7 linked regions of the Xenopus tropicalis genome follow. The protein of the gene in region 1 interacts with the protein of each later gene in a biochemical or structural test. Links are inferred from orthologs where the notes say so. Each region holds a gene or a part of one and is shown in the gene's direction. Other genes may lie near its edges.

Region 1 (4,060 bases):
TTTTACAATTATTCCATTAAAATAAATGTTTTTAGAAACTATAGCATAAGAGAACTGGCTAAGGAGGCAAGTCACGTTTCTTGGGGGTCAGTCACTCTTTTTGGGACCCCACCACTCACAGCGAGTGCCCCCCTTCCCATGTCTAACCTAATTATGACCCCCCCATTATTGGAAGGGCCTAAAACCCACCTAAAATACATGTAGCTTTAGGGCCATGATAAATCTCCATTGTCACGGGCAACTAATCTCCCCGCAATGCCATTCCACTGGCTAGAATGTACATCACCGGTGGCGTGATTTGCCGAAGTCGCCAAAGCTTTCTCTTAAGGCAACTTCGGCAAATCACGGTGCCGCGTATGCCATCCAACCGGATTTACATTTACATTCTAGCCAGTGGGATAGCATTGCGGGGAAATTAGTCGCCCGCAACAACACAGATTTGTTGCAGGGCGACTAATCTCCGTGTGTCATGGCCCTTAGGATAAAAACATAGGAAGCTACTTAGTAGTAGCTATTGTCAGGGCTACTAAGCGCCAGAATATACCCTGCCATAGACAATACTAACAGCTGCATTTGCAAAAACACAGAGGCAATTATCAAGCATTGTCTATTTTTGTATTTTTCAGGGCCGCCGCTCCCTATAAGCAGAGTACTCAGTCTGCATAGGGCACCAACTCCCAGGGGGGCACCATCCCAGCTACTCCAAAAAAAAAAACATTTTTCTATATTATAACTTACTTACTATGGGGGCATTGTCTATGGGGGCAATTGGGGGCACTGTGTGTGGGGCCCCCATAGTAGGTGTTTTTTTTTATTTTATTTTTACTTCCGTAATATTTGGGAGAGGGGGCACAAAAGTAAATTTCTGCTTAGGGCACCCATTTGGCCAGCAGCGGCCCCGGTATTTTTGTTTCTTCCCCCTGAGGCAGGGGAAAGAGAGCGCTTTTGCTGGTCTGCCACATATGTTACAGAGAAAATAAAGGTAAAACTGACACATCTTTAATATTCATGTTAATACTTAAAAGAACCCTGGAACTACCCTTCCACCTCCCATAACTCTCCGCCGCCAGCCAGTTGCCCGACAGAAGAGCTAAGGGAGTGACGTCACTCAATGCGCGCTCCCGACTCCTGGGCGCGCCCCACTCGCTCCCGCGGGCTTTCGAGGCGAGGCCGGAAGTGACGCAGGCGGGGAAGCTTCCTGTTATCTCGCCGAAGAGTTGATTTTGTCGGGCGCTGGCTGCTCTAGGTTTTTCCTTCATAGACGCTGAAGGGAGAGCAAAGGAGAAGGAGTCGTGAGTGAGAGAGAGAGGGTGTGTTCTGAGCTACTGAAGCCCTTTCGCGGCCTAGCTTGCTTGGGCCATACGTACAGCCTTCATCTGTATCCGCTTTTGCGCCCGGGCTGCAGGGAGATCCGCTGCCAGCGCAGCCATGCAGGCCATTAAATGTGTGGTCGTGGGAGACGGGTAAGTGACGGGCTTCTATCGCTTATTTTTAATTCGAATGAATGGGGTTAGACGCTGAATCGCAGTGTGTCGCGTCTGGCCTGGGGCTCTGGGGATCTACGCGTTCTTCTGCGGTGGAATTTTCACCTTCCTCGGCTGGAACTGTGGCATGTCAGCCTCATAGCGGCCCAGCTGCTGGGGACTACAAGACCCGCAGAGGATGTCGGATACTGTAGTTCATAACAGCTGGTTGGACTCATTTCGTTCTTCATTGGGTTTCTTAGATAAATCTTTCTGCAGGTCTCTGATTACTAGATATTTATTTGGGGTTTCATTTTTACTGCTGCCCTCCAGCTGTTCCCTGGGTGCTGGGGGCACAATTGGCATAAGGGTCCATGTTTGTAATATATTGTAAATGTGTCAGCAAATTATAGTGCTAATATTATATAAAATGGATAACGTTTGGGCCAAGGTGCCTTCGTCCGCAGTGATGAGTCTTAAATCCTGTAGTGTAAAAAAAATAATAAAAATATATATATATATATATATTAGATGTCCGGTTACTAACTGATACTCATCAATATCCAGCAATCAACCCAGGAGCGAATGGAAAGATACGTCAGGAGGGACTATACAGTTATACGGCCACCCTCCCATTGTTACGATTGGAGCACCAGGAAGTAAAGCGCCGTTTCATCTCCCCTTCACTTCCTCATGTGCTGATGCGCTGTGCCCCCCAGTATATGTATACAGAATATAGAGCAAAACCCTCTCAGTTCATATGGGCTGCTTTACATTCTTGGATTTCAGTGCCCTAAGGCTATAGCTGCAGCATGGAACATGTTCTAGATTGATGCTTCCTGCTGCAAGGGAAGAAGAGTCCTCCTATGCCAGAGGCAGTGTGTGTTCTCCCAGTAATCACCGTTGCTAGAGCCTATTTCCCTTGAAAAATGGTAGGAAAAACACTGTTAGATGCATACGTATGATTATGGTCAATATTATAGACCAGATCGGCTCATGTTCCTCACTCCATGGTTAGATATATTGAAACTTCACTGGGTAATGTACTTTAAATCTTTCCTTTGCTATTTAAGCTGTTATATTTTCTACTTACTATGGTTTCTCTCTTTGTCCTGGGCTTTGATTTAATAGACTGTAAATTTGTCCATTCAAAATGTTATTGTATAGTTCCAGCATCAAGTGGACATGTATGTATAACTTTATTTATAAAGCGCCACAAGGGTACGCAGCGCTGTACAATCTCACAGAATACAAGGGAGGACAAGTGATATAATAAATAAATACAATTAATATATATATATATATATAAGTGCCATGAGACACAGTAGGAAGGAGGTCCCTGCCCCGTAGAGCTTACAATTTAAGTACACAGTAGGAAGGAGGTCCCTGCCCCGACATGTAAACAAGACATTCATTTAGACAATATTCCTTTCTAGTATATGAGGGTATTTTTAAATGTCTTCTCGTCAGTTTAAATGCAGGGTACATGTGCCACAAATGCCTCGGTCACATGAATTGTATTTGGCTGCATCCATAATGCCGCATTATGTGTTTCATAGGGTACCACTAGTGGCAGGCAGGCATGGGATGGTGCCCCCGAGAGCTAGGATAAATAAGGTTATTAGAACAATTGAAAATCAGGACCAGTAATAGGAAACCCAACTTGTGGGGCAGCACTGATGGCATTTCCTAGCACTTTAGTAACTTGCCAATCAGTTCAGCTCTGCTAGTTGGGTATTTTGTATGTTTCCTGATTTTTCAGATCATTTGATAATCTTAAGGTAAATTTTGTATGGTGTTTGTGCAGTGTAACTGTATTGCTGTCAAAAATATTATTTATGTGCCAGTCAATGGAGTGCTGATTGTTCTTACACAGAGGTTGTCCATCTCTTTAGGCAAACTTGGCTAAATTACTACATCTATATGCTAGAGCAGGGATCCCCAACCTTTTATACTAGTGAGCCACATTCAAATGGAAAAAGTGTTGGGGAGCAGCACAACCATGAAAAAAGGTTCCTGGTGGTGCAAATAAGAGCAATAATTGTCTATTTAATAGCCCCTATGTGGACTGGCAGCCTACAGAAGGCTCTGTTTGGCATTATACTTGGTTTTTATGCAACCAAAACTTGCCCCAAGCCAGAAATTCAGAAATGAGCACCAGCTTTGAGGCCACTGGGAGCAACATCCAAGGGGTTGGTGAGCAACATGTTGCTATGAGCCATTGGTTGGGGATCACTGTCCTAGAGTTTCTTTAGCATCATTCCCTTATACTTTTTGGGTGTTACCATGTTGTAGCTATGGTGCCCTCTGTCCTCACTGTTCCCCAGTTCAGTTATTGCTCTCCCAATCACAAATCTTCTTCATTTTCAGTAAACAGCAGCTTAACACCCAGTACCGATTTGCTTATGGCTGCATTGTGTATATTCTCTTTCCTCATTAAGACTATCAATCAGACAATTATTTTTTCCTGTGGACATGGCGACTTGTTCAGCATATTATTAGGCAACTTGGTGGCCAAGCTTAACTTGTGTATCATTTTGTCTAAAAGACGCACAAGAAAAAGGCACACAAAATAGAAAAACAATTGTTTTTTTGTT
Region 2 (3,973 bases), on another chromosome or scaffold:
GCCCCCACCCACCCTACTGCCCCCACCCACCCACCCTACTGCCCTAACTCCCTGCTGCCCCCACCCACCCACCCACCCTACTGCCCCTAACTCCCTGCTGCCCCCACCCACCCACCCACCCTACTGCCCTAAACTCCCTGCTGCCCCCACCCGCCCGGTACCTGACACACACTCTCACACACACTCTCACACTCTCACACACTCACACTCTCACTCACACACACTCACACACACTCACACACACTCACACACACTCACACACACTCACACACACTCACACACACTCACACTCTCACTCACACACACTCACACACTCACTCACACACACTCACACACACACACTCACACTCACACACACTCTCACACACACACACTCACACACTCACACACACTCACACTCTCACACACACTCACACTCACACACTCACACTCACACTCACACACTCACACACTCACACACACTCACACACACTCACACACTCACACACACTCACACACACTCACACACACTCACACTCTCACTCACACACACTCACACACACTCACACACACTCACACACTCACACACACTCACACTCTCACTCACACACACTCACACACTCACTCACACACACTCACACACACACACTCACACTCACACACACACTCACACACACACACTCACACTCACACACACTCTCACACACACTCACACACTCACACACACTCACACTCTCACACACACTCACACTCACACACTCACACTCACACTCACACACTCACACACTCACACACTCACACACACACTCACACACACACACACACACTCACACACTCACACTCACACTCACACACTCACACACTCACACACTCACACACACACTCACACACTCACACACACACACACACACTCACACACACACACTCACACACACACACTCACACACACACTCACACTCACACACTCACACACACTCACACACACACTCACACTCACACACTCACACTCACACACTCACACACACACACATACTCACACTCACATACTCACACTCACACTCACACAGTACCCCGGTACCTGACACACAGACGCCGCTTCCGGTCACATGGGGGGAAGGTCACAGGGAGATAACGCGAGAGGAGGGGGAGTGGCTCAGGCGGATCATGTGACCTTGCTGGAATCACGTGACCGGGGCAGCTGAGAGAGAGAGAGAGAGGGAGGAGCCGCGGTACCGGGTAACACTGGGGGAACTGGAGGGCACCACGAACCGGAAATACCGGGACCCCGGAGACTATGTAAGGCCCAGGGTATCCCCTGTCCTACCCCCCTGTCCTACCCCCCTGTCCTACCCCCCTGTCCTACCCCCCTGTCCTACCCCCCTGTCCCACCCCCCTGGGGCAATCCCTGTCCTACCCCCCTGTCCTACCCCCCTGTCCTACCCCCCTGTCCTACCCCCCTGGGGCAATCCCTGTCCTACCCCCCTGTCCTACCCCCCTGTCCTACCCCCCTGGGGCAATCCCTGTCCTACCCCCCTGTCCTACCCCCCTGTCCTACCCCCCTGGGGCAATCCCTGTCCTACCCCCCTGTCCCACCCCCCTGTCCCACCCCGGAGACTATGTAAGGCCCAGTGTATCCCCTGTCCCACCCCCTCTGTCCCACCCCCTCTGTCCCACCCCCTCTGTCCCACCCCCTGTCCTACCCCCCTCTGTCCCACCCCCCTGTCCTACCCCTGTCCCACCCCCCCTGTCCTACCCCCCCGTCCCACCCCCCTGTCCTACCCCCCCTGTCCCACCCCCCCTGTCCCACCCCCCCCTGTCCTACCCCCCCCTGTCCTACCCCCCCCTGTTCCACCCCCCTGTCCCACCCCCCTGTCCTACCCCTGTCCCACCCCCCCTGTCCCACCCCCCCTGTCCCACCCCCCCTGTCCCACCCCGGAGACTATGTAAGGCCCAGTGTATCCCCTGTCCCACCCCCTCTGTCCCACCCCCTCTGTCCCACCCCCCTGTCCTACCCCTGTCCCACCCCCCCTGTCCTACCCCCCCGTCCCACCCCCCCTGTCCTACCCCCCCTGTCCTACCCCCCCCTGTTCCACCCCCCTGTCCCACCCCCCTGTCCTACCCCTGTCCCACCCCCCCTGTCCCACCCCCCCTGTCCCACCCCCCCTGTCCCACCCCGGAGACTATGTAAGGCCCAGTGTATCCCCTGTCCCACCCCTCTGTCCCACCCCCTCTGTCCCACCCCCCTGTCCTAACCCCTGTCCCACCCCCCCTGTCCTACCCCCCCCGTCCCACCCCCCCCTGTCCTACCCCCCCCTGTCCTACCCCCCCTGTCCCACCCCCCCTGTTCCACCCCCCTGTCCCACCCCCCTGTCCCACCCCCCTGTCCTACCCCCCCTGTCCTACCCCCCCTGTCCTACCCCCCCCTGTCCTACCCCCCGTCCTACCCCCCGTCCTACCCCCCCGTCCTACCCCCCTGTCCTACCCCCCTGTCCTACCCCCCCTGTCCTACCCCCCCTGTCCTACCCCCCCTGTCCCACCTCCTGTCCTACCCCCCTGTCCTACCCCCTGTCCTACCCCCTGTCCCACCTCCTGTCCTACCCCCTGTCCTACCCCCCCTGTCCTACCCCCCCTGTCCTACCCCCCTGTCCTACCCCCCTGTCCTACCCCCCTGTCCTACCCCCCCGTCCTACCCCCCCGTCCTACCCCCCCGTCCTACCCCCCCGTCCTACCCCCCCTGTCCTACCCCCCCTGTCCTACCCCCCCGTCCTACCCCCCCTGTCCTACCCCCCCTGTCCTACCCCCCTGTCCTACCCCCCTGTCCTACCCCCCCCTGTCCTACCCCCCCTGTCCTACCCCCCCCGTCCTACCCCCCCCCGTCCTACCCCCCCCTGTCCTACCCCCCCTGTCCTACCCCCCCCTGTCCTACCCCCCTGTCCTACCCCCCTGTCCTACCCCCCTGTCCTACCCCCCTTGGGCAATCCCTGTCTGTTACTGTCATTGGTACCTACCCCCACCCCGACAATATCTGCCCGGGGTACCTACCCCCCTAACTATAACTGCCCAGGGTATCTACCCCCCTAACTATAACTGCCCGGGGTACCTACCCCCTAACTATAACTGCCCGGGGTACCTACCCCCTAACTATAACTGCCCAGGGTACCTACCCCCCTAACTATAACTGCCCAGGGTACCCACCCCCCTAACTATAACTGCCCAGGGTACCTACCCCCCTAACTATAACTGCCCAGGGTACCTACCCCCCTAACTATAACTGCCCAGGGTACCTACCCCCCTGCGTGTAATCACTGCCAGTACTAATGAATGGTCTGTGTAATGGCCTGTTACTGTCATTGGTACCTACCCCCCCCCCCCCACCCAAAAAAAAATATCTACCCAGGGTACCTGGGACAGACACAGGGAAAGGGACAGACACAGTGACAGTTACACATAACTATAAACCCAGTGAGAATGAGGAATGAATGGATATTGGGGAGTTGTATCAGGAGTCAGAACCAGCAGTGCAGGGAAGGGAAAGGGACAGACACAGTGACAGTTACACATAACTATAAACCCAGTGAGAATGAGGAATGAATGGATATTGGGGAGTTGTATCAGGAGTCAGAACCAGCAGTGCAGGGAAGGGAAAGGGACAGACACAGTGACAGTTACACATAACTATAAACCCAGTGAGAATGAGGGATGAATGGGTATTGGGGAGTTGTATCAGGAGTCAGAACCAGCAGTGCAGGGAAGGGAAAGGGACAGTGACAGTTACACATAACTATAAACCCAGTGAGAATGAGGGATGAATGGATATTGGGGAGTTGTATCAGGAGTCAGAACCAGCAGTGCAGGGAAGGGAAGGGACAGACACAGTGACAGTTACACATAACTATAAACCCAGTGAGAATGAGGAATGAATGGGTATTGGGGAGTTGTATCAGGAGTCAGAACCAGCAGTGCAGGGAAGGGAAAGGGACAGACACAGTGACAG
Region 3 (3,500 bases), on another chromosome or scaffold:
AAGCAATGCAGGAAATGCCTTCTGCACAACCTAAATCCTCACCAATATTGAATTTATTAAGATGTTCAATCTCAGAGGCAAAACATTTTGGGGGTAATTTTGATGTTGAGGCATATTTTGCATAATTCAGAAACCTTCCTGTGTTACCCTACGTATTTGTGTGTGCTGTCTGTAATTGATTTGTATGGAGACTATCACAAGCTGGTAAAGGCACTTTACTATAACAGGTATAGGAATCAATTTAAGCAAGTAATTCTAATTTTTTTCCCTTTTCTGAAATTACAAACCAGTTCCTTGTATTTTATCCCAACTAAGATGCACAAATTATAGAAATAATACCAGATTCTGAGTATTGCAGATAATGTATCAAAACCTATATGATAGTTGTCCCATGGCGCAGGTTGCATTTCCGCAATAAAGAATTTTTTAAGGGCAAGGCCCGTATGTAGCTCTTGAGTGCCGTTGCTGTTTGCTTGTTTGGAATCTGTGGGGAGGGTGCCGATCCCTCTCTAGCATTGTGCGCCGAGCGGTGAGTTTCCGTTGGAGGGCTGAGGGAGTGCGGGTTTGGATTCGTTGCTTGCCATGGCGCAGGAAAGACATCATTTACATGTCTATGAAGATTTTCATTCATCCAGGTCATGGTATATCTAGTATAAATAAATTTAAAGCAACTGGACTTGTTAGGTAATCATTGAAGACATTTCCTGTGCCATGGGACAACTATCATATAGGTTTTGATCCATTATCTGCTCGGATGAGTAGTGAAACGTCTTCAATGATTACCAAATAAGTCCAGTTGCTTTAAATTTATTTATACTAGATACATCATTTACATGTTTTTATGCAAAAATATTTTCTATACAAAAGCAACACTTTTTGACCAGTCATATGTTAACAGCTAGCTGTTTTATCAGTAACAGTGCAATTTAGAGTAAGGTCAGTTCCAAAATGAAGCCAAGTTGTTTGCTCTATAATTTAAAAAGGAACAGTAACACCAAAAAAATGAATGTATAAAAGTAATTACAATATAATGTACTCTTGCCCTGCACTGGTAAAACTGGTGTGTTTGCCTCAAAAAGACTACTGTACTTTTATATAAACAAAGCTGCTTTGTAGCAGTGGGGGCAGACAGGTTTGGGCCAACACACAACTTATCCAGGTCGAGCGTGGGTTCTGGCCGAGCCACCGGCAATGGCTGTTTATATATGCGAACCTGCCTCACTTTTCCCCCTCCATGATATTAGAGATGGGGAGGGCATGTGTATATAAATGGCTGCAGAACAGAAGTGCGGGTTGGGTGCTGGTTGGGAGAGGGCGGATTAGGGTCTTGTGCGGGTTAAATTGTGTGAGGGTTATATTTTTCATGCAAAGCCCATTTGAAATCTTCCTACATCATCTCGGATGAATTTAGATTTGGACTTTGACTTGGCCTTTCCAGAATCCTTCATTTCTTTCCACCTTCATGCTTTACAGTTGGTATCAGGTTCTTCTAGTAAAGCGCTGTCTCCTGGTATTGTGGCCAAATAATTTTACCTTTGCCTCATCTGTCCAAAGGTTCTTGTCCTTGTCAAATTAGAGTCTTACCCTGATATTTTTTCTGGACACCATAGGTTTCCTCCATGCACACTTCCCATGTAGATCTAATTTACACAGTATTTGACATCAGTAGTGGTGAGGGGGCTACCTTAGGTCCCATGATAAAATTCTGGTGTTGTGAGCTTCGTTCAGTATTTTGCCTTCTGGGCCTGAGCCGAGAACTGCCAACTTGCTTGGGCCAGACCAAGTTGGCAGTTGATTGAAATGTTCTCCAGTTGTGTATGGTGTTCTGGATAGTGGAATGATTGATCATTTTAAACCCTACTATAGAGGGTCCATCCAGACCCATGGCAACAGGGGACCCAAGGGGGGGGGGGCGGCATGGGAGACATATATATATATATATATATATATATATATATATATATATGTGTGTGTGTGTTTTTTTGACTAGAAAATTAACACTCTTTTACACTTTTTGTCTAGATCGGACTTTTCTGCAAGAATCATGTCTGATAACGGGGAGCTTGAAGATAAGCCGCCAGCTCCTCCAGCTCGGATTAGCAGCACAGGGACAAAAGATCCTCTGACCAGCAACCACAGTCATAAACCTTTACCTTTAATCCCTGAAAAACCCAGGAATAAAATTATTTCAATGTTTTCTGGCACAGAAAAAGGTAGGATATATCAGTTGGTTTTCTCCTCATAGAAGTCTAATTTTAGAGTGCATGCCTATTTTTTATGTAACTATGAAGGGAACTATTATTTTGTGTGTGGAAGTAATACATATAAACAGTACTTAAGTGGTATAATATGTACATTGCCAATACCCCTTCCCAAGTTAGAGGCCTTCCTCCCCATGAACACAAGCATGTAGTACCAACTAGCAGCTGGTTAGGTTTTGCTAGTACAACAGGTTTTTTTTTTTTTTTTCTTCTTCAATTACAGCTACTAAACTTGAAAATAATGTAACTGAATAGCTGAGATGTAGCTCTATATGAAACTGATACTGCAACTGTTAAGGTGGCCACACGTGGCGATTTTTGATCTTTCGTGCATCGAAAGATCGTTCCCACCCTCCACAGACGTTCAGGGCTGAATCGTCAGATACGGAGGTAGAAAAAATAGGATTTTTACCTCCTTCTGCCGATTCAGCCCTGAAGGTAGATTTTGCTCAGGCGTCTTCAATGACGCCCAATCAAAATCTTTTAACCCGCCCGATCGGCGAGTTGACCGATATCGGCAGTCGTCTGTGATATCGGTCACCTCGCCGACTAGCCAGCTTTAAGGGCCCCAATGGGAATTTGATTTGTTTAGGGAAAATGTCTTGTCTCCAAAAGTTAAGGGCCAGTGATCATTGGTCCGTGGAGCCCAATAACTAGTTATTACACTGCTGAAAAGTTCATGTAGGGGTTACTCATAATTCAAAATTAGTATAGATCCCCTTAAAATCCCCTTTCTCCTTGTAATAGCAGTAAGTAAGATAGTGATGTGCACTTTACCGGATTAATAATTAACGGACCTGGTAAAGTGTTTCCATTTTTCCACAACAAATGGTTGTAAAAGCTATAGAGATTTTTGCATGTATGCCATCCCCTAAAATTAACTTTTAAGGCTGTGGGAGGATGCTCAAAGGAGTTTGTTCATAACCTCCTGAGGGGAAATTTTGTTTAAATAATAGACTTTAAAGCTAGCAGTTAGGCAGATTTTTTTTTAAAGGAAAAGGTTGACCTTGATGGGGGGTATGTAATTTTTTTTCCAACCTAGATTACTTTGGTTATCCAGAAACAAATGTTTTAATGGTGAGACTTGGTTAAACAGCAGTTATAAATAACTATGAGCTATCACCTGTAAATTACATAAGCAAGCAGTTTCCCACAGAATTCCACTTCTTGTGCCTGCAACGGGACCCAACAACTATTTCTCTGAAGTTATCAAGTATGGACTCTCCCAATATGTTTTAC
Region 4 (3,500 bases), on another chromosome or scaffold:
TTTGTCGTGCGGCGACTAATCTCCCTGTCTGTCACAGCCCTTAGCCTTTTACTCACTAGCCACGTAAGATGCTATCATCGTAATTTAAGACAATGGTAACCATTTGCCCAGGTGTTGAAACCCATAATAGCCAATCAGATGTCTGTTTTCAAACGGGTGACTAGTAATTGATAGCTGCTGATTGGTTTCTATGGATTTGCACCTTTCATTACATTAATTTTTAAGGGCTCTGGTACACGGTGGGATGGCATTCGCGGCGGCGCGAACGCCGAAGTTGCCTCTCGTTGCCGCAAATCGCACCGCCGCGTATGCCATCCCAGTGGCGATATTTTGTCGCGGGCGACTAATCTCCCCGTGTACCAGAGCCCAAAGTTGTGCATTGCTTAGCAATATGTTATTCACATAAATTAGCAAAGAACCAGTAAATGTAAAATCTACAGTGCTTGGCTGTCGGGTTTATATTTCATCTGTGGCAGTAGATGGTTAAAACAGTATTATGTTTTTGTTTGGAAAGTTCTTATACTAAAATACTATGCAAAATTTTTGACTCCCTGTTCTGTGCTTTTCTTTCTTTTAGGATGCTGTGTCAGCGGCTACTGATGAAGAGAGACTGGTGAAAATTCATGATGTTATTCAACAGCTTCCCCCACCTCATTACAGGTTAGTTCAAAGACCCTAAGTCTGTGTGTGTGTTTAAGGTGGTTTTCGTTTATGCTTTATATCACAATTTGATAATCAAGAGGGTTTTTAACCATTATATACTTTGAGTTCTAAGCACATGTAAGATATTACAGTCTAGTAGAGTTGAGCCTTTATTTTGACTTTTTCTTTTTGCTCACATAGCATAAAGGAATGTTTAGATAAAACATGATCATGAAAAGGCATGATTGTTAAGGCCTTTCATCTACTGTTGTTACTGTATGTCTGCTTTTCTTAATACTGCATACATAGGCACAACATTCCTGTACTAAAAGTCCCCCATTCCCCTGAATTAATTGCCAAATCACTAATTTTTTACTGTTATTTTCTAATATTTGAATGGGCAAATGTCTTTAGTAAGAAAAAGCAAGCTTTAACAAATCAAGTGGGTAACTGTTAATGTGGTCCTTTAGACCAATTCAGCAGCTTATCTGCCTGTGTATGGGCATGAACGACAGGCCTGCCGTCTGACATCTGGCCGACATTGCCAAGCGAGCAGATCTTACCATGTATGGCCAGCTTTAGAAAACTTCTTTAGTATGGTACTTAGCTCTAGTGCTTCAGCCCTCCCAAGCATTGCTTGCTTATTGAGTGCATCTTGCTTCTCTTACCTGGCAGACCCTGTGTTTGCCCTGACCAAGAATGAAATTGGCCTGGCGTCTGACCTTGTTTTCTGCTTTACAGTAGGAGTGGGCAGAACGGCAGAGAGACAATTCCTATAACTTGCTTGTGGTTAGGGCAACAACAGACCTGGTCAGAGCAGGGTACTGGGCAGATGCTAAGTTCAGTGCGATTATAATTTTTTTTTTACTAGTCATGAAGGCAAGCTTCTAAACCTTTCTGTATATCAGCAGATAAGTAGAAGAGCCAGCCACTACACAGTTTAGCTTTTTAAACGTAGCAGGTCTTGTAGTAACTAACTTCCAAATTTTGTAGAAGGCATCCAAGAAATTAAAGAATTTAGACAATAGACAATAATTTGCCATTACTGGGCACATGGAACAATTAACATTTTTAAAGAAATTAGAGACTAAAATAGACAAAAGTCACTCCTAGTAATCCTCAGAAACATAGCAGGCAAGTTTTACTTGCAACTTTCAAACCTAATTGCTGATGGGATGAAATATAAATATACAGTATATTTAGTTGAAAACATGCTCAATTTATTCACATTTAGGAAACCAAGAACTTACTTTTAAAATGCTGCTAAATATTATTAGTGGACTGCTTTTCCATTACACATTTGTATCCAAAATAACTATTTAGATTTTTCAGTGAATGCACACTAATAATATTTCTTTAGATGTATTGAGAATAAGAGTTTATTAACACAGAGAACTAAATACATCTGTTGATAGAACAATCCCTTTTTTTGGCATGCATTAAGATTTGGTTGTGTACATTATGTCATTGTCAATTTTAATCATACATAATTATACCTCATCATAACATTGTCATAAATCATAATTATATATTGATCACTTTAGGATCTGTTTTTAAAACACATTGATCAAGAAACACAGCAGCCTTACTCATACCGAAAGATTTTGAATTATTCTTAGACTTGCTTTATTGCTAATGCCCTTCACTCTGACGTGACTTTTCCCACTGATCCCCATTACTGTGGGAGCAGCTCACAATGAAAAGTTTTAAATATTACAGTTACCAGGATAAAGAAATGTTATTATGAACAGCTTATCTGGACTGAATCAGGGTAGTGACTATAGGTCAGATTTGCACAGGTCTACAGCATGGGGCAGCTTAATACATAACTTGCCCACATTCTAATAAATATGTTTCTAATAATTCAGTAGGAATGAATAGAACATGGTTAAGTTTGTATGTGTTACGCTCTAAACTCACATTTAGATAAGTCTGCCACTATGTGTTTGTGTGCTATGACAATATCTATGGCTTGTGCTGTTTCCCACTTATGTTGAACCTTAAATCATAACTTTTTATTTTTTTTATTTAAATAGAACACTGGAGTTCCTTATGCGCCACTTATCAAGACTTGCGACATACTGCTCTATCACCAATATGCACACTAAAAATTTGGCAATTGTCTGGGCCCCTAACCTGCTCCGGTATGGTACCAAAGATCCTGGTATACTGTAGAGAGAAAGATAGGAGGATATACTGTACATCTGGTCTTTTTTTGTTTGTTTCTTTTTTTAAAGTGACATTGTTTTAAGTTATATAATATAAGAATAATAATAATACTGAAATATTCAGTTTTTTTTATTGAAGTATTTAATCCTGGCACATTAATATTTTTTCGAGACACGCTTTATAGTAATAACAGTTTTATATCTTGGGGTAAGTATGAGCCATCTTTCTCAAAATCATTCCTGAACAGTTTTCAAATGCATACCCTAAGCCAGCGCTGTCCAACTGGTGGACCACGACCCCCCTCTGTGTGGCCCCCCACCTTTCTGGCTGCTTTGATGGCTTACCTTTGTGTAAGCTTTAAATGGTATCATTACTGGCTCAGGCTGTAATCACCCATATTGTTCAACTGTTCACACATCAGACAGACTGTAGGAGCAGTAGAAACTCTGCACACTATAAAAAGAACATATACTGATGTGGTACTGCAATTAGAAAGTTTTTTAATACATAGTTATTGTGCAGACTGTAGGAGCAGTGCCAGCATTGTGTCACTGTATGCTGCCTGTGTGTGCCATACTCTGCCTGCCCTATGCTGCCTATGTGTGCCATACACACAGGCAGCATAGGGCAGGCAAAGTATGGCACACAGGCAGGGTAGGGCAGGTAGAGTATGGCACACACAAGCAGGG
Region 5 (2,528 bases), on another chromosome or scaffold:
GGCCAATATATATTTATCCTGGAAAATCCTCCTTTTTTCAGACATAAGCAGAATGGTCATAGCATTGTGCAACCATAGCTACATTGTCCTCTAAAAAGCCAAGGCAAGTGCATTAAAAGGCAAGAATAATTTCCAAATAATATGGGATGCCTAAAGGTGGCTATACACTGATCCGCTTGTTTGGCGAAGTGGACAATATTGGGCTAATTTGATTGTTTGGCCCTAGGGCCAAAAAAACAGCGGGTATAGTGTCACATACGTAATAAATACCTTTAACAGTAACAAAATATGAAAATAAACTCTATCCATCGAGTGAGTGAGTAATATTACTCACCCACTCGACGGGTATTGGGCTTGCATGACTCTGTCCTCTAGCAGTGATTAGGTACCTCTCTTTTCTCTCTTCTACTTACTGTAACATGTCTGATGTTGCCCCGTTACACTTTGATTTCTTTACTGATAATTAGATTTTAGTTTAATATTTCGTTACTGTTATAGGTATTCGTTATGTTTGTGACACTCTATAACCACCTCTTAATCTGTAGTAGCTTGGAGTTTCAAGATGATCAGATATATGTTCTTTGCACTGTCTATCCTACTGCTTGTGTACAGAGGTTTCCTTGATATATATATATATATATATATATATATGTATATATATATATATATATATATATATATATATATATATATATATATATATATAAAGAATATGTATTAAATGCACTGCTATTTAGATATGTGTGTAAAATGTATCTAACTAGCAGTGTTTTTAATAACACCACATTCCTGATTCTATCTGCAGTAGGACATAGTGCCCTTTTGCAGCGGTTTGCTGTAGAATTATGCAGTATATTTTCATTTCCTGTTTTTATTATCTCGCTGGCTATCAAAAAGGCTATAATACAATATTTATAGAACTGTCTATAACCGCAGCAGCAGCTGTTTTTTTTTTGTTTTTTTTTTTTAGAGCAAGGTATTTCCAGTCAAATCACATATGAACTGTAGTTTATCAGTGGCCCAATAACACACCCTTCCTACAGTTGCAGATTATGCATTTAAAGTGGACCTGTCACCCAGACATAAAAAGCTGTATAATAAAAGTCCTTTTCAAATTAAACATGAAACCCAAAAATAATTTTTTTATTACCACATCTATACCCATTATAAAAGCATTTTAAAATCCCAGCTGTCAATCATATATTGCCTGCCCCGCCTCTATGCCTTAGGCATAGAGGCAGGGCAGACACTTACTTTCACTTTCAATTCAGAACTTCTTAGATGTTGCTGCTCTCCTCACATTCCCCCTCCCTCCTCACCATGTAATTGTGTAATCAGTGCATGGATATGGGCATCAGGTCCCTCCACACTGGCACAGAAACAAGATTTTGGCAGGATGCAATGCCTGCTTTGATAACAGTGTCCACAAAATGGCCCCCGCCTGCTTACTGCTATTGTGAATTCCAAGGCTGAAGAAAATAAGATTAAAATAATTTATATAGTGTAAGTAAAGTTTATTTTGCTTGACAAACACAATAGAAAACAATTTGAAATTATTTCTTAAGGTGACAGGTCCGCTTTAAGTAGGCTTCTAATATGTAGAATCACTTGTGAGGTATAATTCATCACATTTCAGTTTATTGATCTTGCGCAATAAGTTTTTCAATAATCATTTTGTATGTTCTACTTCACACAAGACTAACAATATTAAGTCGGTGTTGCTTTATGCGTTATGTACATTGCTATTTACCTTGGAATTTATTAATTTCATTGCAGTTCCCGTGTACCTCATGGTGGCTTTGCATATATCATGGGTGGAAGTGGGCTACAAAATTTCACCATAGCAGCAGTAGCATATACACCAAATCTGTTGCCAACGTCAAGCACATGGTAGGTATAGATATGAACAGAAAGTACCAGCCGGATTTATATATATATATATATATATATATATAATATATTATAAAAAGTCCTCACGACAGCACTTCATTCCAAAATGCTAGTAGATAGCCGCCCTTGTGCACAGAATACAAAATAAAACACAGCCAGCACCATAGTTCAAAACAATCTTAATTGTATTGCAGGCTGTATATGCACATGTAAATATACTTTTTTGATTTTGTTGCAGTGTTGCTGGTCTTTTTTGTATGATATATATATATATATATATATATATATATATATAGATATAGATATAGATATAGATATAGATATAGATATAGATATAGATATAGATATAGATATAGATATAGATATATATATAGATATATATATAGATATATATATAGATATATATAGATAGATATATAGATATATATAGATATATATATATATAGATATATATATATATATATATATATATATATATAAAAATGTAAACTCTCCAGTGGAGAAATAAAAGTCAGCAGGGAACTTACAATTTTATGCCCAATTCCAAGTACATGGATCTTGGTGTGGATTGGCAAGCCACCATACATCTACTGAAAGTTGTGCAAAATAATATTATAGCTACTTTAGGCTTAAGATAT
Region 6 (3,500 bases), on another chromosome or scaffold:
ACTGATTTTATTCAGTGAATCTTCAGTGGCTATGACTAGAGCCTCACTGTTCAGGCATATCTGTTCTCTGTTTATATGAGAAATGACTGCACTTGTATTGATCTGTTAATTTTTATTGGGGTGACAGGTAAAACACCAGTATTTACCAAGAACATTTCAACTTCCTTCCTAGTGGGTAAAGAAAGGCAATTTGAATATACAAAGTCCATGGTCCTTCCAGTTTGCCTTCTTTCTAATTATTAAGGGCCAACCACTTGATTGATCAAACTCTACTTGATTGACTGAAGTAATGCAGAATATAAAACTGGCTAGAGGAGTACTGTGTCTGATTAATCACAGCAGCTATGTTGTTCTTTGTATTGCAATATAGTTCCCTCTAGGTGGGGGTGTCGACAGTTGGTTATGGGGTGGGGCATTATATTATTGGGGTCATTGACAAGATGTAAATTGAACTCTTCTTACCAAGCACTACTCCCTGGGTTATCTTATAGCCTGTACAAAGATTCCATACATGTATTCTTGCGTAAGTATTTATCTGCTTTGAGCAAACATTTGTGCTGAAGATTTGAGGGTGCTGTGGCCCTTTATGCTTTTTTACTGCTTGTCTGAGAAAAAAGTATGATGTTTATTTTTGTACCTGTTTGTTTCAGGACTATCACCCAGATCGACCAGATATCCAGAAGTCTATGACTGCATTTAAGAATCTCTCTGTAAGATAAAATCATCTATATATTTAGGGAAAGAGTCAGGCTTTGAATGTATACCATGTGTTTAGTTTACATTTATTTTTATTTTGGTGATATGATGTACACTGGACTTGTTCTTGAAATATTTCCTTTTATACATCTGGCTACCACAGGGTGTAGTTCATGCTTAATTACTACTTTTTCACAAGTAGGTTTTGTACTTTTTTTGTTTGTTAGTATGCTTTTTTTAATCCAGCATTTTTTGTCCTACTAAAAAAAACAGTGCAACCGTGCTGTTAAGGCTGATGCCAGACGTGACGTAGGGCTGATATTTTCGGCAAGCGGAAAAACGCTTGGCGAAAATACAGCCCTACGCCTGCTACTTGTGCCTGCACCCAAATGAATGAGATACGCTCGGGTGCAGACACATGTAGCCGATATCCGCATGAAAACGCGAGATAATGCAAAGTCTCGTGTTTTCATGCGTATATTGGCTACATGTGCCTGCGTCTGGCATCAGCCTTAGATTGCTGATATCAGCCTGCGAGATCAGGTGAAACCTTTCTGCGACTCACAGCATGAATGCTGCTGAATAACATATGTACGAATAAATATATTGGCAAAAAAAATAACAACAAATAATGTTTACAAAACCAAGGTTTTCGAGATGGGGCTCTTCGTCACCTGGCTGGAAATCTCCTCTCCCATGGGTGATGAAGTGCTCAACAACACCTGGCTCTTCACTTTCCCTGGAATTGTCCAAAAATGCAGAAGAAGGCATTTTTTAGATTTTTAGGGAATGATACATGTAATGTGTTTTACATGTGGAAATTTTAGGGAAGGTTTAGGGGCAGGTATTGGTGGACACTTCATCACCTGCCAATACCTGCCATGTTAGCACCCTGTGTCCTTAAAGGAGAAGGAAAGTTAAAATTACTGGGAGTGCCAACTGTTAGGCACTCCCAGTGATCACTGTGGGTGCCTAATACCTCTTCTCTACTATACACGTGCTGGGGAAACAGAAAAAAGAAGCGGGGAAAAAAAGATCGCTATTTGGTGCTCATACAGAGGTTACCCAGGGTACCGGCCTAGAATATAAGATAAGTGATTATAATGACTGGGTGGTGGCTAATATTCAGCAGCCCCCAGTGATTTTAACTTTCCTTCACCTTTAAACACCTGCTACTATTTAGTAGAATTTTTATAATCTAAGAAAAAGCACAAACATTAAAACACTGCTTCATAGAAGTAAAAATGTAAACCCGGCACCAAACTCAATCTTATGTAGCAATAAAGCAAGTTTCAAGTAATCTTCACATCTCATGTGCCTCTCTATAACTTATTTCCTTTCATGTTTTTTTTAATTTCAATGATTAATTGTTTATTTAATTGGAGTCTCTAGCAGGAACAGAATATGGGGCATTATTATGAATTATTGCTGATTATGTATAGAGCAATAAATTAATTCCATTATTTAATTACAATATTTATTTTACTCTGTGCACTGAAGCATCAATTATCTTAGCACTTTATAGTAAGAAATTGGTGCTACATAAGCATTTGAAGTCTGGGTTTTATTTATAGTTTAGTAATAACCATTATTTGCTTCTATAGGCGCAGTGTCAAGAAGTAAGAAAAAGAAAAGAATTGGAGCTGCAAATCCTGACAGAAACCATTCGTGGATGGGAGGGGGAAGACATTAAGACATTAGGCACAGTTATATACATGTCCCAGGTTATGATACAATGTGCAGGAAGCGAGGTAATTACATATAGTTACATAGTTACATAGGGTTGAAAAAAGACCATTGTCCATCAAGTTCAACCCATCCGAGTAAACCCAGCACACAACCTATACTAACCAATCTATACACTCACATACATAAACTATATATATACAACCAGTAATACTAATACTAACTAATAATTGGTGCCTGTTTAGAACTGATATCATAGTCTTATGATATATATGTTATTAATTTGTCCATTACTTTTATAGAGCTGCTGATGGTGCATTATGCTCAGTTTAAAAATATGGCATTTTCATACATAAAAGGCTATGTCGGGTGCTTTAAGTTCCCTACTTTTTGGTACCCCTTAAATTCAGTCCCCTTATACTTGAAAGCTCTCAAAGCAGCCCACCATACATTTTTATGTTAATCGCATAATTGTGTCAACTCTTTGCATTTCCAGAATACTATCCCTTAAGAAGTGTTGAAAAAACATGGCACTAAAGAGCCTAAAATAGGCTTGTGTGCAATTGCTCTTTGAAAACTACTTGTAAATAAAGTTGACTATACACTGGCCGAATGAAGAGATACTGATCAAGTGTTGATACACGTGTATAGTCACCTTCACATTCCAGCCAATGGGCTGAACTGCAGGTAGTGAAGTGGAGCTATGGCATTTATTCACTTTCTCTTCTGCTGATGTACTCACCAGCATGGTGCACAGGCACATAAAAGATTGCAGGATGATCAGTTGAACTGCAAGCCATGTATGGCCTTCATCAACTCTGGATGTTATTTACTTCCAATGCATGGATCTTATATGCAGAGCAAAATTCAAAACATGAAGCACCTGTGGTACTGCATATAAGGTTCTGTAATAGTGCATTAATAGCCTGCAAGTAATTGTATCCCTATAAGATTATGAGGTATACATATGAGGATAATTTTGTCTGTAGAAGAATAAAGAAAATGACCTGACCACAATTTTTTTTGATTGGCACCTAAGCTGCAATTTTACACTGGCTGTCTTCCCTACGTGTGCGTGCTCACTTGGTAGCTGGAAGGCAGGAAAAAGGATGCAAGGT
Region 7 (4,257 bases), on another chromosome or scaffold:
GGCCAAGTTGGGTCTGTTTACGCTGGAGAAGAGGCGCTTAAGGGGTGACATGATAACTATGTAAAAATATATAAGGGGATCATATAATAAAATTTCTAATGTTTTATTTACCAGTCCGTTTAGAAGAAGGGAGGTTCCATTTAAATATTCGGAAAGGATTTTTTACTGTGAGAGCTGTGAAGTTGTGGAATTCCCTCCCCGAATCAGTTGTACTGGCTGATACATTATATAGCTTTAAGAAGGGGCTGGATGGATTCTTAGCAAGTGAGGGAATACAGGGTTATGGGAGATAGCTCTCAGTACAAGTGAGAGAATACAGGGTTATGGGAGATAGCTCTCAGTACAAGTGAGGGAATACAGGGGTAGGGGAGATAGCTCTCAGTACAAGTGAGGGAATACAGGGTTATGGAAAATAGCTCTCAGTACAAGTGAGGGAATACAGGGGTATGGGAGATAGCTCTTAGTACAAGTGAGAGAATACAGGGGTATGGGGGATAGCTCTCAGTACAAGTGAGAGAATACAGGGGTATGGGGGATAGCTCTTAGTACAAGTGAGGGAATACAGGGTTATGGGAGATAGCTCTCAGTACAAGTGAGATAATACAGGGGTATGGGGGATAGCTCTTAGTACAAGTTGATCCAGGGACTGGTCCGATTGCCATCTCGGAGTCAGGAAGGAATTTTTTCCCCTTTGCGGCAAATTAGAGAGGCTTCAGATGGGGTTTTTTGCCTTCCTCTGGATCAACTAGTAGTTAGGCAGGTTATATATAGGCATTATGGTTGAACGTGATGGACGTATGTCTTTTTTCAACCCAACTTACTATGTTACTATGATTGGGTAAAATGTGTTTATTATGTTGTTGATGGTATCTTCACAATCACTTAATAAAGTTTATCAGTTTTGAAGATGCATATCTGGTCATAAATGTGTCAATAAAAATAAACGCCATAAAGCAAAACTATTCGATAACATGAATATTTGCAATTTTAGCAAACGGACGCCTTAGCCCATAAAAACAGGTTGTTTTTACTTCACAACCCAGAAAATTTTCTGTGGACGCCCATGGATCCCCTTTACATCATGTCTCTGGGTACCCCCAGTGCTTGCTATTGTACAGGGGAGGACACAGCCCATTCTGTTTATGGTCTCTGAGGGTAACTTTGCCCCAGAAAGGTGCCAGTCTCCCAGATGTGACTGAGCTGCTGTTCTGCTCAAGGATGATAATGAGAGCTGTCAAACATGAGGCACCCAGGGCCCCTCAGTTGTAACTTGAGCCTCCAGTCCTGGGGGCAGCAATGGAGCCACAGGTAGAAGATGCGTTTAAGCAGGGGACGGGCCCCACCTCTCAGCAGGCTACCGCACCAGAACCATCTCCCGCTAAGTGGGTGCAGCCTGAGAGATCGCTAAGCTGGGAGGGGGCGGCCCTCTCCGGAGCTGTCAGTGCTGCTGTGCCACAGGCTGCCATGCAGGAAGGGACAGGAGCCTTGTAGTGTGTGTCCCAGCAGGGAGCAGCGCCCACTGGCACCGTGACACCTGCCCAGCGGCGGAGCACAAGAAGCAGCAGCAGCGCCAACGTCATGTGAGCGAGCAGGAAGTGCTGGGAAAGTAGTGGGTGGCTGGCTAGCAGCGGCGGCGGCTTACTGCCATGGGCTAACGACGCTCCTCTACACTTCTGCTGTCCAGCACTGGGATGGCTGCTTCCAGCAACTCCAGCCTGTCCGGCTCCTCTGTGTCCTCAGGTGAGAGCGGGATTAGTGCGCGGTTCCTGACAGCTTCTGTCTCCGGGGAAATGATTGCTGTCTCTGCTCCGTTCTGTGACAAGTGCCTTCATTTTCCTACAGGAGGCTGCTGCTGGCTCTAGGGAGCGCTCACATGTGAGGGGACATTAGGCACTTTCCCTGCACATGGCTTCAGCTGCCTACTCTTCTGTCACTCTCCCAGTGCCAGTGCCATTGGTGCGTCAGACCTGTGGCTCTTTAGCTGGTCATAAACTATAACTCTCAGCACCACAGGACTACTTGGGAGTCCTCATTTATCATAAGCTGTAGGGTGACAGGATGGATGGACATCTCTGCCCTACCAGTCCCCTAAAGGTGTGAGGCATAAGAGTAAGGGGGTACAATGTAATTGATGCACAAAGGGGATATTAAAGTCACAAGATACAGAATCCACCTATAGTATAGGCTGCTACTGAGGTGTGACAAGGGATAATGATTAAATCAAGTTTAACGGAAACGTTTCCTATTATATGATCATGAAAAAGGCCACACAAAGCATTGCAAAAAGGACGAAATCAAATATAAGCACCACATATCTGATTTTGTCCTTTTTGCAATGCTTTGTGTGGCCTTTTTCATGATCATTATGCTAGGAAATGTTTGCTCAGCTCATTCATGTCATTATTTTGCTGCACTTGTCCATCATTTTGTAAAGAATTTCCAAATGTTCCTCTGCATTTATTGTTGCGTGTCTTGTGTTCAAAAAAGTTCTGCTGCATTGGTCGCAAAATGTGTTGAACTTGCAGCCCAGGCAGTTGTTTTGGAGGAAATATTAGATGTGATAATCATGTTGGGAAGTAAACAAATGTGTCATACTTTATGGGACGGTGGATGGCAAGTATACACACTTGGCAGATCACCTTGCATGCCTGTACAATGGACTGAGGATACAGTATAGGAGATCAACTTGTACACCTGTTGCTTTAGGGCTTAACTACATGGGAGATTTTGAACAGATTTTGTGGGTCAGACTTTATATGACCCATAAGATCCTACAAAATCGTATTCCCCTGGTTTAACGTAAAGGTGACCATACACTGGCAAATTTCAGATTCAGACTCGATTGGACAGGTTTGATTTTTCCTTCGGAGCGGGGAGCACGTCTGCTCATTGATGCAGATCTCAGTCTGACAGTCCATATAGCAACCGTTTTAATTTGATCATTTGGCCCTAGGGTCATACGCAGGGGCTCTTCTGCCATTAGGCGAGTTGAGAAACTCGCCTCAGGCGGCAGAAGCGCCCCACTTACCAGGGGCGGCAAAAAGCTGGAAATTCGGCAATTGCGCTCTCCGCACTAGCGAACTCACCGCCCCCGGACCCACTCCTGCGCTCAGAAGGTAAGCGCTGGGGAGCGGGGGGGGGGGGGGGGCGGCATCCAGGAGCCGCCTCAGGCGGCGATATGTCCAGAATCGCCCCTGGTCATACGATCAGATTAGCCCAATATTGGCCACTTTAGGTGGGCATATCGTAAGAAGATCCGCTCATTAGTCAACCTCGCCAAATGAGCATATCTTATCGTGTATGGCCACCTTAAGTCGGATCAGATAAAGTGTGTTTTGTTTTGCATTTACGTCCAATGGCAGTCAGTGTATTTCAATGAGAAAAAACCTTTCAGACACCATCAGCTTTTATCTTGTAGGATGCAGATGCAGCATGTAGCATTCTTGTGTGTGACAAACCTAATGTGTTCAGTGGCAAATCTTTCATGTTGTTTACACATCAGATTTTTCTATCCTCCCATTATTTTTTGACCCATGCAACTAAATATAATTTGTATGCAGTGATCTGTCCATCCAACAAGATCCTACAGAATCTCCTGTGTAGTCTCTGTTGTGCTGAAGATGGAAGTATTCAACTATGCTGTTTCATCCATTGTATATGATTATTTCTATTAACCCTGATGTATGGTACAGCTCACTTATGCATATGCTTTTGTGTGTCAGTTTCGTAGTCTGTTTTATAATGTTTCCTGTTTGTGGTCAGCAGACCACCACAAGCATACTAGCATACATATATGTATATATATATAGTGTGTGTGTTTTATTTTTACAGAAGCGTGGGAGGGAAGGACATGTTAAAAAATACAGTTCAATAATAGGTGCTATGGAAAATTTGACTTCTATTTCTTTTACAAGTGAATGTCCTGTAGTATCACAGTACACAAGAGGTCTGTAGCCCCCAATTGGGAATCACTGATCTGTCTTTGCTTTATATTTCTAGGTCTCTAACACTTGGGCATTTTTTGTGCATTTATATGCTTTTTTTTTAAACTGCAACCAGGGTTGGACTGGGGGGTGCAGGGCCCACCGGGGCTACCGCCCAAGGGGCACCGCACCTCCCCAGGTTCCCCCCAATGCCTCAGCCCAGTCCGACCCTGACCGCAACGAATTAGTGGGTTGAGTGAGTTACTCAACCCACTAATTTCTTCTTTTCTGAAAAATGCAGCAAGTTGTGTTTAAAATACATAATGAAATTTGA

What was found.
Region 2: the proteins of rac1 (region 1) and arfip2 form a complex in vitro, tested with the Homo sapiens proteins (2 studies listed by BioGRID and IntAct, with this or other methods). The link is inferred for Xenopus tropicalis from reciprocal best matches to the Homo sapiens genes RAC1 and ARFIP2.
Region 3: the proteins of rac1 (region 1) and pak2 form a complex in vitro, tested with the Homo sapiens proteins (2 studies listed by BioGRID and IntAct). The link is inferred for Xenopus tropicalis from reciprocal best matches to the Homo sapiens genes RAC1 and PAK2.
Region 4: of the proteins of rac1 (region 1) and arhgap32, one has a biochemical effect on the other in vitro, tested with the Homo sapiens proteins (3 studies listed by BioGRID). The link is inferred for Xenopus tropicalis from reciprocal best matches to the Homo sapiens genes RAC1 and ARHGAP32.
Region 5: of the proteins of rac1 (region 1) and hace1, one has a biochemical effect on the other in vitro, tested with the Homo sapiens proteins (5 studies listed by BioGRID and IntAct, with this or other methods). The link is inferred for Xenopus tropicalis from reciprocal best matches to the Homo sapiens genes RAC1 and HACE1.
Region 6: the proteins of rac1 (region 1) and arhgef7 form a complex in vitro, tested with the Homo sapiens proteins (2 studies listed by IntAct). The link is inferred for Xenopus tropicalis from reciprocal best matches to the Homo sapiens genes RAC1 and ARHGEF7.
Region 7: the proteins of rac1 (region 1) and chn2 form a complex in vitro, tested with the Homo sapiens proteins (2 studies listed by BioGRID). The link is inferred for Xenopus tropicalis from reciprocal best matches to the Homo sapiens genes RAC1 and CHN2.

The regions. Positions count from the first base shown.
Region 1 is NC_030685.2:25,457,283-25,461,342, forward strand, and holds the start of rac1 (ras-related C3 botulinum toxin substrate 1), read left to right. Parts: upstream 1-1,260; 5' UTR 1,261-1,428; coding exon 1,429-1,463; intron 1,464-4,060. UniProt on the Homo sapiens protein: Plasma membrane-associated small GTPase which cycles between active GTP-bound and inactive GDP-bound states.
Region 2 is NC_030678.2:180,359,225-180,363,197, reverse strand, and holds the start of arfip2 (arfaptin-2), read left to right. Parts: upstream 1-1,173; 5' UTR 1,174-1,273; coding exon 1,274-1,275; intron 1,276-3,973. UniProt on the Homo sapiens protein: Plays a role in constitutive metalloproteinase (MMP) secretion from the trans Golgi network. May have important functions during vesicle biogenesis at certain cargo subdomains, which could be predominantly utilized by secreted MMPs, such as MMP7 and MMP2.
Region 3 is NC_030681.2:129,792,990-129,796,489, reverse strand, and holds part of pak2 (serine/threonine-protein kinase PAK 2), read left to right. Parts: intron 1-2,022; 5' UTR 2,023-2,044; coding exon 2,045-2,213; intron 2,214-3,500. UniProt on the Homo sapiens protein: Serine/threonine protein kinase that plays a role in a variety of different signaling pathways including cytoskeleton regulation, cell motility, cell cycle progression, apoptosis or proliferation.
Region 4 is NC_030683.2:72,452,810-72,456,309, reverse strand, and holds part of arhgap32 (rho GTPase-activating protein 32), read left to right. Parts: intron 1-577; coding exon 578-660; intron 661-2,678; coding exon 2,679-2,786; intron 2,787-3,500. UniProt on the Homo sapiens protein: GTPase-activating protein (GAP) promoting GTP hydrolysis on RHOA, CDC42 and RAC1 small GTPases. May be involved in the differentiation of neuronal cells during the formation of neurite extensions.
Region 5 is NC_030681.2:80,251,619-80,254,146, forward strand, and holds part of hace1 (E3 ubiquitin-protein ligase HACE1), read left to right. Parts: intron 1-1,776; coding exon 1,777-1,890; intron 1,891-2,528. UniProt on the Homo sapiens protein: E3 ubiquitin-protein ligase involved in Golgi membrane fusion and regulation of small GTPases. Acts as a regulator of Golgi membrane dynamics during the cell cycle: recruited to Golgi membrane by Rab proteins and regulates postmitotic Golgi membrane fusion.
Region 6 is NC_030678.2:116,924,943-116,928,442, reverse strand, and holds part of arhgef7 (rho guanine nucleotide exchange factor 7), read left to right. Parts: intron 1-650; coding exon 651-710; intron 711-2,300; coding exon 2,301-2,447; intron 2,448-3,500. UniProt on the Homo sapiens protein: Acts as a RAC1 guanine nucleotide exchange factor (GEF) and can induce membrane ruffling. Functions in cell migration, attachment and cell spreading. Promotes targeting of RAC1 to focal adhesions. May function as a positive regulator of apoptosis.
Region 7 is NC_030682.2:43,310,564-43,314,820, forward strand, and holds the start of chn2 (beta-chimaerin), read left to right. Parts: upstream 1-1,457; 5' UTR 1,458-1,691; coding exon 1,692-1,740; intron 1,741-4,257.